2 linked regions of the Drosophila melanogaster genome follow. Changing the gene in region 1 together with any one later gene gives a genetic interaction. Each region holds a gene or a part of one and is shown on either strand. Other genes may lie near its edges. The genes, in order: ord and Incenp.

Evidence for each region.
Region 2: of ord (region 1) and Incenp, changing one enhances a phenotype caused by changing the other (phenotypic enhancement), as found in Drosophila melanogaster (one study listed by BioGRID).

Annotation. Positions count from the first base shown.
Region 1 is NT_033778.4:23,270,707-23,277,299, reverse strand, and holds ord (orientation disruptor), read left to right. Parts: upstream 1-1,763; 5' UTR 1,764-3,525; coding exon 3,526-3,576; intron 3,577-3,634; coding exon 3,635-4,260; intron 4,261-4,323; coding exon 4,324-4,573; intron 4,574-4,633; coding exon 4,634-4,813; intron 4,814-4,880; coding exon 4,881-4,958; intron 4,959-5,011; coding exon 5,012-5,266; 3' UTR 5,267-5,286; intron 5,287-5,350; 3' UTR 5,351-6,043; downstream 6,044-6,593. Other genes in the region: CG13540 (uncharacterized protein), read right to left, coding at 6,330-6,593. UniProt on the Drosophila melanogaster protein: Essential for proper maintenance of sister-chromatid cohesion in both male and female meiosis. Mutations in ord cause premature separation of the sister chromatids in meiosis I and random segregation in both meiotic divisions.
Region 2 is NT_033778.4:7,276,953-7,282,588, forward strand, and holds Incenp (inner centromere protein), read left to right. Parts: upstream 1-1,653; 5' UTR 1,654-1,776; coding exon 1,777-1,845; intron 1,846-1,908; coding exon 1,909-2,089; intron 2,090-2,154; coding exon 2,155-3,214; intron 3,215-3,277; coding exon 3,278-3,374; intron 3,375-3,518; coding exon 3,519-4,185; intron 4,186-4,341; coding exon 4,342-4,535; 3' UTR 4,536-4,843; downstream 4,844-5,636. Other genes in the region: Br140 (Bromodomain-containing protein, 140kD), read right to left, coding at 1-930.

The sequences.
Region 1 (6,593 bases):
CAAGACGTGAAATGCAACTTTTTCGGCACAACGCTCGAGCACAAAAGCCTGGACAAAAACACACTGCCAGGCAGCCAACAAGGAAGCCAACAGAAAACCGTGCAAATGCACAAAAGCCAAACAAGAATGCCAAACGAAAGGAAGGGAGTCCTGCGCAAGGAGCCTTCGCATTCCGCATATCCTCGCCCTCAAGGACCCTCCATTCGAAGCGGAGTTTTGCGGCACGTTGAGGTGAAGCATTCCGGGATCGCAGCCTAAGCCTCGCCAGCTGCTCACGAATCCGGATGTCCTCCGCCGAGGCACAAAACATAAGCTACTGGCACGGAAACGCAGGATCGCAAGAGGCGCCTTTAAGATACCTTTAACAAAGCGATTGTCTTAAACGAGGACCACAATAAATCTTTGTTCATTTTTAGATAGTTTGTTTATCCATATGATGCTAACTAAGAAATACGTATTATCTTTATATAATATAGCTACAAATGGATCTGATATGTAATGTACTCCCCAAGAAGGGAATCAATTGTAGATAATCACATGGCTTATCTACGCATGCTACCCAAAAGCGACAGTATACCTTTGCCAGGACAAAAGGACAAAGTACAGCAATCCGGAAATATGGCAAAGAAAATGGAACAATCGAAGTGAAAGGGTCGTGTGGAGTGGGAAACGAGGAACACAGGATCCAGTGAATGGAGCTGCGACATGAGTACATTTGTTTATGCGGAGCCCGAAAAGATGGAGCAACCACATCCCCAGCTTGCTCCTCCTCCGCCTCCTCCTTCTCCCAGAGGACTCCTCCGGCTGGCAAGCGTTGAAATGGAACAAATGAACTAAGTCGAGAATTGCCAACTGCACACTTGAGTCGCACAACGAAGTAAACCCACAAAAGGAGCAGCCCGAACAAATGATTTCACAAGAAAAGTTAAACTTGTAAATTCAAATTTCACATTTGTCTGGAATTCGCAATTACACTTTGGCAACAACAATGAAATATGTCCGCCTGGCACATCGCTACACCTGCCCAAAAATCGCTGGATTCAGCATTCCCCCCTCTAATCCAGCATCCATCCAGCCCAATCTTCACGGCTCATTGTTTGGCCTGGCAAATGGAGCATGGTTGTGGCGGAGCACGCGGGTAGCGGGAAGAGCCCAGTTGCCTCCTAAAGCATATTGTAATAATCCAAATGAAATTAAATGTACCGTAAACATTTCGAATTGCGATTGCTTCAAGGATCTGGCATTCCGCAGCAACAACATGCTACAACTGTGAGCTGGGATTGAGCGACTATAAGATACCCTACATTTGCTAAATCAAAATAAAATCAATACGTATATTAAAGTATATATTGATACGATGGCTATTGTTGTAAGTATTTGCTATATATTGAAACCAAGCTAGAGCTAGGATAAAATAACTTGCAGAGCCAAGAATGCTGAGCTACTTCATACCCTGTACAATCACGAACAATGTCAGGTGCAAGCGGTGCTCCCACGGGCGAGCCAATAAAAATGTCGGTAATTGCAGATGCGAAACATGGCCAGAATCCGGATTGGGAATGTAGCAATAGAATGAAGGGGTTAGGCTGCGAGAGAGGGGTTCCACATTAGCTGGCTGGATGTTGAATGCAAGTAGTGCAATTATGTGCGGGTTCTTTAAAAATATTTTAAAATCTACATGCCCAATCTCACGGAGTAAGCCAGAAATGTCTCGAAACGAACTTCAAAATGTATACAAAAATTTATACTCTTCTGGGGACTTTGTAATGTTTAAAGTTAACTTAGGCTTTCGAACTGATGATATATTGAAAATTCCTCAATAAACTGCCATCAAATTAGCCTGCTCAACAACCCGCCATCATCATCATCATCATCATCACTCGCAAACATTGCAAATTACCACCCACCGCCACGTAAATCACCATAACCATATTTCAATCGCTTCACTGCGATCTGAATCCCCCAGCGATTTGTGCAACTATTCAATTGGCCCGACTGGATGGCAAGGAGGCATTAAATTAACGAAATCAGGCAGGTAAAAATAAGGAAAACGATCGACTTTAAGTAAAAGCCGGCCGCCAAATTGCACATTTTACAAGTTTACGAACCACTAAGCGGAGCCAGCAGAATCGCCTTTTTGGCGAATTTATTTCTAAAACAACTCTATCGCGATCACCTGGCGACGCAGAGCGGCCCATAAAGCCAACGATTTATTGGCCAAGTCGGCAACAATTTGACAAGCAAATTGCTATAATTTCTGGACATTGCAAGTGGAGGGAATTCCCCAGTCCCCTCGATCCGCGATTCTTCTCCAAGAATGCTGTGTGGACATGAGCAGCGCTCTTTTCGCGCTTTTATCTGCGCAAATTTATGCTGGCGATAAAGCCACAACGACTACTGGACTGGATCCTCTACTCTCGAAAGGAAGAGCCCAGGTCGGAGGAGGAATCACGTGGCCCAAGGCTGGTAATCTAATTGCATGGCCATTCGGATGGATCGGCGCTGTCTGCTGGAATTGCAATAATTTCGCTGGCTTTACGAGCTGCCATGGAATCCCCGAGTCTCCACATTTCCCCAGCGACCACACATACATCAGAACATCGGAATCAGAATTGTCGAGTGCACAAAAGTTTTTGGCGATCACTTGGACTATTAAATCGCAATTAAATTCGTGACGTGTGGTCCCCACGGTTCGTAAATCCCAGGGAAGAAAATGCTGAAATGGCAATCATCATTAAAAATGCAAAAGGCATAAAATTGGCCAGAAAGAAGCCCAGAAATATAAATGATTTCCTTGGGCCTCATCAAAGGCGGGGCGATAAGGAAGTATTCTCCTTTTCGTTCGAGTCGTAAAATATCCGACGAAAACTACGACGACAGCGTCATAAAAATTAAAAGAAAATCACAATCTTGGTTTATTTCTGTCGCCTTTGTTTGCCGTTTGCTCAAATTTAATATCATTCCGTACTGTCCAACGAAATAAGCCTCTTTGAAAAGTGACCAGGACGGAGTTTCGTACTAATTGTTGCTCAGTGCGTGCATTTGGGAATTACGACAGTTGGGCTTTTGATGGCACTTAGAAAGCCGTTAATCCTAATTTTATGCATCCAGTCTGTTGGCCTGGCCAAGCCAATTTAATGGCTCACTTCCCATGGCTCATAATAATGTTGATTCCTTGCTGATTCATAAATATGCGTTAGGCGGGGAAAAAGGGCATACAAATGGATGGGGAGCAACATATTAGTGGACTGGGACCAGCTGGATGGTCATGGTTTTATTTTCTAGGGTTTGAAACAAGCTAAATTTTTCGAAATCAACTATCAGTTTAAATCCACTTACAAGAATTGCTAAAATTTCAAAAGCCCGTTTTGACTTCTGTGGGACATTTTATAGCACTAACTTTCTGAGTCGATTTAATCGAGCGTCGATAACTTAGCGTCATCAAGGAATTTTAGAGCACTTACCTTCACTGAAGTAAGCGAAAAAGTTGTTAAGTTATCGAATGACTGAAAAAATTTATGAAAAATGTACGGAGAAACTACGCTAAATAAAAACCACGTCATTAAATTTATCAAAGTGAGTTGTATTCATATTGAGAACAGAAAGCACGTATTAAATGTATATGATTGTTTAGTTGAAAATTAACAACTGCTTGGGCTGCGATGAAGTGGAGATAAACTTCTCGAAAGCGGACAATGTACACATTATCATCTACAGTTTGGTCACGGATATGGCAAAGGACCTACCGGCTGTAACGCCCGTGGCCCAGGCCATCCTACTCCTCTGCTCCCTGACCTATCCGGATTCAGATAGCCTTGAAACGATTCCGCAGCTGAAAATTGGCAAGGGAAGTGTCTCGATGAGCTTCAAAGTGTATCCCGTGAATAAGGAAGAGGAGACGGAGCCAGAGTCGGAGAGCGACCTGGATGAGGGACCGTCCACCTCGAAACAGGCCCTGGAGCGAATGGTGCAGCGAGCGGAGCGCAAGGCCAAGGAGGCGTCCACAAGGAACGTACATTCCAAAGGCATCTATGTGAACGTAGAGCGAAGATTCGATATGTACTTCGCCCTGGACACCGTTTCATATTATATAAACGGCGGCAAACGCCAATCGTGCCCCCTCCCGGAGTTCCACGCCAAGTTCTTTGTGCGGCCCCAGCACTCGATCAATCTTCTGAGGCAGCTGCACGAGAAATGCTCCGGGAACTGGCTAAAGGTCATCCAAAGCGACGGCGATGGAGACGCCTTCAAAAAGTTCAAGTAGGTCGAGCCACTCCGTAAGTATTCCCATTTATTGAGGACTAACCAACATGTTTGCTGCAGAGACCCCGACAGCCCGTTCGAGACCTTTGTAAAGCTGTTCGAAAGTAACCCGATCAAACCAAACGATATGATGGGCAAGTTGGCCAAAACATGCCTGCACGTCAACGAGGCAGTGCGTCTGACGGAGCGAGAATTCATACTGGAGGTCTTCAACCAGGTGCGCCACATATTCGAGTACATCACGGCCCAGGAGTACACAGTGTGGTTTCTGGTACCTTGCCTTGGTGACAAAGACCAGCTGCGTTCCAAGGTGAGCACATCTAATTGCAGTGGGTTCTTAAGTTATTGAGCCTATATCTATATCCACTAGACCCTCGAAGACTTTGATTTGACCAAAGTGCGAACGTCTATTCGTCGAGCCGGTGATACTTCCAACATTTGGTGGGATCATACTGATCACAACATCAAGGACATTCTATTGGTGGCCTTCCAATTGGACCTGGCCACCCATGTCAATCAGTCGGTTCTTGTTATTAGCCATTTGGAAACGGTTTGTACAATGAAAAGTTGATTTAGAGCTCAAGTCAAAGGATTGTAAATTGTATTTCCTTAAACAGCTGGCGGAGTTTTCCACTATGCAATATGTGACGGCCTTTTTTATGAACGACTTCTACGCCAAGAAAAACACGGAACCAGTAAGTTGCCTCACTAAATAATATTAATATTAATATTTATTATTTGGCCTTAGAAATGGATCTGCCACCGCTATTTGGAGCGCATCATTGATGTGGCCTTGTTCCTGGGCGTCATCGTCATCATCGAATACCCAAGTGCCTTCACTCTGTTGCAGGAGGGTCGCCACTTGATCAAGTGCTTCCAAAAGGAAAATGCTGACTCCTCCAGAACCTCCCAATGGGAAATATTCGAAGATGTGGTCAAGGAGAACGAGTCCGACCTCGAGTTTCTCAAGGAGGCCGTGGGCAAAGTCCAGCAGAACGTATAGTCTTCAAAGGAATACACTAGGTGCGTCATATTATTGCAAAAACTTGGCACATACCCAAACCAACTGACTTGCGTGCAATTTCAGCTTCGCCTCGAACAAATTGCATTTATCTGCCGTCTGCGGCTTTCACACGCAAATATTTCCATGTTCATTTTCTAATTACGCCACAGCTCACGGTCCAACTTCACTCCGGCTGCAAACCCATTCTTCAGCTCCATTTCAATTAGGGTTTTGCCGGCTGTCAGTTGTTCGAGTGCCACTGGCGGAGCAGCCGAGGGTCCTTGCACCACCATCTGCACCACCATCTACCCCGACCCACAGACAGCAACTACAATGGCTGTCAGACGAGAAGCACGCGTCATTTGCCGGCGAAATGCATTTGCGCTAACCAAGACCATTTTTAGCCAAAATCACCCGGTGACCCAGTTGCAAAGCCAAGAGCCCGGAGATACATCCTGATGGAATGCTGACTGACTGGCGGACGGACTTGAGTGATTGGCGGTTACTGGGGCAATTATTTTGGACGCTGATGGGGTACATCATTCATTTGAAAACACAATCTTTAGTTATACATTCTATTTTTTTTTTTATACAAGAACACAAGCGAGGCGAAGATTTTCCTATCCTATGGCATTATTAATCTATTACACCATTTACATAATCATATGGAGAAATGTATATGTATATTTCATCCTCATTTATTCTTTCTAAATTCTGTTATATCATAAGTTCAAGGTTTATAAATAAGCAGATAATAAATGAATGTTCTTTCCTTCCAATTGTGGGAATACTTAAGATCTATTGTAGATGTGGGCCATCAGTAAATGCATATTATTATATTTGTTATCTGGCCACAGATTTTGTTTACGTTGGATGCCACATTTCGCACCTCGTGCACGACCTCGAGAAGATCGCACGCCGGCCTGGCTGCCAAGGGGCCGGATGTTACTACTGAAAGTTATTAAATGAGATTTCAAGACAGCCGGCGTATCATTTATTGGATTATATCAATGAAAACATGTTACAAATTGAAATCGCTTTATGGCCACTTCAGTATCGGACCTTAGGCAAGGTCACCAGGTTTGTCCTTCAAATCACGTGGTGTGGGTATTTCGTCACCAGAGGGCGCAAAACTCTTTTCCGAGCAGTGCTGATCACCACCCAATTGACGAGGGTTGTCTGCAATTGCTCCTCTTCGTGGTGAGGTGGCGCGCTGCTTGGTGACGCTCGCATCCGAAAGATTGGGCCGCTTCTTCTTGAACTTTGTTTTTTCATCTTTTAAGTAATCTATGTTGTAGCACCAACCGCAGACCTGACCCTGGATTAT
Region 2 (5,636 bases), about 16 Mb from region 1:
TACCGCCAGGTTGCACATGTCGCAGAAAAGTATCACGTTGGTGTTTTGGCACTCGCCGTCGAGGCAAATGCAGCAGACTGCGTCGTCGTCCACCTCGACGCCTGTGGGTGTGCCGTTGGCCGCCGCCTGGAAGTGCGACTCCTTCTCCAGCCGGTCCATCAGCAGCTCCATCGTGTCGATGCCCACGGCGTTCAGGCCGAGTCGCTGGCGCTCCTCGTTCATGTGCTCCAGCCAGGCGGAGTCCTCCTCGTCAACGTCGTACTCCACCTCCCCGTCCAGCTCCTCCAGGGACTTTTCGATGAAGCGATAGTAGGCCAGCGGCCGTGGCGGGGCGTCGGACACTCGGTAGTCCGGAATCTCGGCCACCCTGGCCACGGGCACCTGGACCCTTGCCCAGGGCGCGTTCTCCTCCAGCGGTGGTGCGTCGGCATTCAGAATACAGCCCCTGGCCACTAGGGCGGCGAACTCTTCGTCCTCTACGAGCGGCAAGGCGTCGTCGATGCCCAGGCGCACGCTCTTCCCGTCCAAGTTAAACGTCACCGTGGCCTCCTCCTCGTTGTAGGACACCAGTGACTCTGGATTGGCGTACTGCCGGGCGCTGACTCCGCTCGCCGATCCACCTCCTGCGCTGGCCGAGGAGCAGCCGTTTCTGGCCTCAGCTCCACCGCCACCCGGCGTGGGGTGATCCTTGTGCGGACGAGGCGTGGAGTGGTGGCCGCCGGAGCGTGAGCGCGCCTTCTTGCGGCTCGGAGTCAGCACGGGCGTGAGCGGCTGTGGGTTGTCGTGGTCGTACTTCATAAGATGGTATTGCAGACCCATGATGGTCTTGTAGCTGCGGTCGCAGCCGCGGACGGGACAGGCGAAAGGCGGCTGGGACTGCTGGGTCTTCACCCCTTTGCAGTATTCCACTGCGTCGAAGTCGAGGCCCATGATCTGGATCTGCGGCGCGATCTGTGGATCTGCTGCAGCTGGCTTCTCGGGGTTTGGCGGTTCGCTGGTCGCGGATCGCGGGCACTGTGTCTACTCCGCGGCACGGCTGCGCATACGTATGTGCATCCCACGGTGGTCGTCGCAGAGCGCGCGGTTTTGGCTGTCCACCGTTCCTGGTCGATTTTCGTTGGCTTGTTGCAAATTTTTTAACAAATGTGCTAGAGATGGGCTTGCTGGTCAGCTCGCCATGGCGATACTATCGTCGGAAGTGCTTGTGCAGCACTGGACGTTTGCTGAAACTTGTTTGAAATATTTCCGGTCCTTTACGCAAATTAATTCTCTTCCGTAATCTATATTTATAATTTAAATGTTCCTTTTTGTTCTTTCCCTTACCATTTTCCCTCAAATTTGTTTACAATATGTTTTTTGGGGAGCCGTGCAGCACTGCTTTCTAGAGATGGTAGTGGCGGGAACGTATTGGAACTGGTTCACCTAATGTTATACTTTCAAAATTTACAGGGCTAGAAATCCAGTACGTAACTATTTAAATAACCCAATAATATTATTTTAAAGAATTCAAATAAATATCTCCCAATATTCACTCAAAAAACAAGTTTTGGTTGTGTTTTTCATTTTGCGCGGGAACTTTATCGCCCGTGCAGTGTTGGAAAGCAGAGGCATAAATGCGCCTTACAGCACCCGACGAGCTGTTAACTGTCAACAGTGCACAATTAAAGGCATGTTATCAAATGCTGACGCGCGTCGCAATTGCCGCCATTTGAAAAAAACGATAAAATCGAAGGAACCGAATCCGGATTTGCAGTTTGTCAGATACAGTCGCTAGATATGGAGGACATCTTGGGCGTGCTGGGCTCGCTTTCGGACCTGCGCAGGGAGCTCGAGGTCCTGCGCAAGGTAAGCCAGGATCAGGAGACGAAATTCCGACACTGTCAACATGGCGTCATATGTGTTTTTTAGGCCCACTTTGAGGAGCTGGACCACCTCTTCTACGGCACAGGCCAGCCGGAGGCGGAGGCCAAACCGAGGGACAGTGCTCCGGCAGCGAAGAGTCAGGAGAACTCTTCGGTGACGCCGCAGCAAACGAAAAAGCGCCCCAAGCGACTCACCTCACTGGCCGAGGATCAGAATGAGCCCGAGGGTGAGTATCCTGGCCATTTTAAAGCATTAACGACCAACAACCCCTGTGATATTCCATTTGAGCAGCTCCAGACGCCACGGCCAACAACACGTCGGCCCGTCAAAGCACTCGGGTCAGCAACTCCCAGTTGCTGGCTATCGCCGAGGACGAGCACAACTCCACGGCCTCGCTGATGCCGCCTCCGCCTGTGCCCGTCTCGGCGGACACCACCCTCGGCTCCGGAAGGCCACAGCGAGCCGCTAAGCTGAAGACCGAGAAATTACTCAAGGAGCCCTCACTCAACCGTAAGATGCGGCGGCCCAGCAGCGAGGAGCTCGTAAAGGTCAAGGTTGAGAGCGAGCAGCGAGTCTCCCAGTTTAACAGCTTCACCAGTGCACAGGCGTTAGAGGAAAATAAACTAGCGGAGCCGGAACTAGAAGAGCCAGCAGCAGAAACAGCTGAGCAGCAAAAGCCTCCGGAGGAGGCCTCAGTCACAGAGGACGTGAACACCACGAAGACACTCCGCGTGAAGGTAAAGCGCGAGAAACTCAGTACCGAAGCAGTGCCCCCGTTAACCAATGCGGTCTCCACGGCAAATGTGACCACCGTCTCCTCTGTAACAACGGAGGCAGCGCGACCGGACGATACGGTGGCCAGCAACACGACGACATCCACGGAGGTCTCCAAGAAGGTCCGCAAGAAGAAGAAGGACGTGGAAAGCCACCGACCCATAAAGGTGGAACGATTCAGCGACCTGGACAAGAGCTCGCCAGTCTCGTCGCGCACGCGCAAGTGTAGCAGCGATTCGCGAACGGTTCAGGAGCGATCCATATACAAGGATGCACTCGAAGATCCGCCCGTTGCAGAGCAATCAGTGGCTGCAGTTGCTCCGGCTGCTGTCAATGAGACCGTGGCGATTTCCAACGCCACCCTCGTACTGGGTCCTGCGCCGACGAGCGATAGTCCAATAGGACCAGCTGGAGATGCCACTTTTGAGGTGCACTCCAACGACAAGAAACAACCTCTGAGTAAGCAGGACAGCCTCTTAACGGAGGACGAGTCGGTGGAGGAGAAGCTGCCGACGACCAAGCTGCTCTCGAGCATAAAGGCTATAAAACTGCCTACCCGTACACATGAGCTTTTCAAGTGAGTAGATACCCTGCCTCTTCATGCATGTTATCCTTCTAAACAATCTTTGCACTTCTACAGCCCACTGCTTCAGAGTCCAGTGAAAATGCGCGTGGAGGCGTTCGAGAATGCGGCAAACGCACAGAACAGCATGCGCCCTAAGCGGGGAAAAGATCTGGTAGGTACAGTATAGTTGCACATATATAGCAGGCAGATAGCAGGCAGAATTAGGCTAGACTATTCACCAGTTCTGTATCAATTGGCGCTTTCTAGAACTGTTTGATAGGTGATTCATTTATTGTTATTTTTTTTTACTCTTCAGCAGGGCACGCCAGGATCAAACAACACTCCCAAAATTGGCAAGCTGCCTGCTCCGACTGTTGGTCGCTTTTTCACACCGACTCAAACGACAAGCACACTACCATTAAGCTCGGCGCAGCCCAAGAAGGGACCTGCCAGCGCGTCTAAGGCCACTAGTCTGCTGAAGACGGCCACCGGTACGAACCTAAGGTCGGTCAATTCCACGTCCACAAAAACGCTGTCGCGCGAGAACAGCGGAGACGACTTCCGCAAGGGCCTGCACAATCTGGCGGAGGAGCGCAAGAAGCTGCGTGAGCAAAAGCACCAGCAGGCTGCCCAGCAGCGCGAAGCCAAGGAGCGGGAGCGGGCAGAGCGTATGGCCAAGCTGGCCGCCGAGCGCGCCAAGAAGCAGGAGGAGCGAAAGCGAATTGAAGAGCGCAAACGACAAGAGCTGGAGGAGCTGCAGCGGAAGATGCGCCAGCAAGAGGAAGCCGAGGCGCTCAAGAAGGCCAAGTTCAAGGAGCTGGAGCAGCAGAAACTGCAGCAGCTAACCGGCGCCAAGCCCAAGAAGATGCTTCCGCCGCCGCCGAAAACCAAGTACACCTGGGAGATGCTGCACGAAGACGACTCGACAGACGACGAGGGAAAGGTCACCCACAAGCGTCCCCCAGCGCCCACCTGGAGTCGAAGTAAGTTTGTGGATCATTTCGAAGAGTTATTTTCGAGATACCTTATTCATCGTAAATATATACAAGTAAATACACCAGATTACAGTCTGATTTCCATTGGGACTACTAAAGGAAATGTTCTTAAATATAGATTCTGACTTATGTGTTTATTTTCAGGCCACGTAAGGGGAGAGGCAATTGCTATGCAGAGCCACTGCCCAACCGACATCATCGACAGCTTTTTCTCGGTGGCGCCCACCACACCGGACCTAAAGCAGATATTCCCGAACATCGATCCCAGCCAGCTGAAGCGAAACTCCAGCGTGCTGTGGTCCACGCCGCCGCGCTATTCCGAGCTGCCGAAATACTAGCCAAGTAGTCCTGCTCTCTTCTCCCGTAAATGCACATGTTTATGATCGAATAAATAAAGTTAATTGTGAAAATTAAAGCGGAGTACCGCTGCGCGATTCACTGCGACTCTGACACTAATATCCAGCTGCTTTAGAACTATTAAAGCCGCCAGCGTGCTCAATTAATGGTTCGCTGGTGGCTGCTTGCCGATTCCATTAGCCAAGTTGCCCAACAATGGATACGTCGATTCGTGAAAAGTGTGAAAACGCAGAGGAGGCAAGTAAACGAAATAAAAGAAAACAAGCCCGGCAAACACAATTTCACTGGTCATGGGGCATGGTTTTGTGGCATGATGCGCAGACGATCGAAAAGACTGCCTCGATTCGATTCTCCTCCATCATGTTTCCATTGCTGCTAATCCCACTTTTCCAACGAGCCATTCTCATTTTCAATCGAAAGCCGAAATCAGCGGAATCGGCATGGGCAATTGGCACAGTAATTGCTGCTGATTAGAGTCGACTCCATGTGGAAGTCGCCGCGGATCCACCCATGAATATGATTCGATGGGACCATCTTAATCCGCAATCTAATTAAGGCGCGTACGCTCCCCAAATTGCCACTTTCAATTGTTACTGTTTCCGTTTAAGTGCACTCTGTTAGTAGCTCCACTTCCCCACGGACCCAAGTCGATTGGGGCTGAATCTATGTGAATTCCATGTGGCACATTGGATACTCTATCAAAAACTGTAAGGAAAGATAGTAACACATCTAAATGAATAAGCTCTAAAATTCCATCAAATGCCACTTTTGTGATCCATCAGTTTGCAATTCTTTAGAACTTTTGAAAGACCAACTTTTAGATTTTCCCATGTTGGTCTTCCACCTGATATTACAGCCTAACAGAGTTGCCATCAGCATGCCAAGTAAAAGAAACTTTTTGCAAAATACAGCATTTGCAGCTCCAAATCAAAAACCTATTTTGAAGAATCGAACTGAAGACTGGCTGCGTAGTCTTCCACTCGCGGGCACTCTTCCGAAGAGCGGCCAAGCGAGTTGCGGTTTCTCGTTTCTTCGGCTCTGCGCGAAGTCTTCGTGCTTCGCACGAGTCAGTTTGAGTCGAG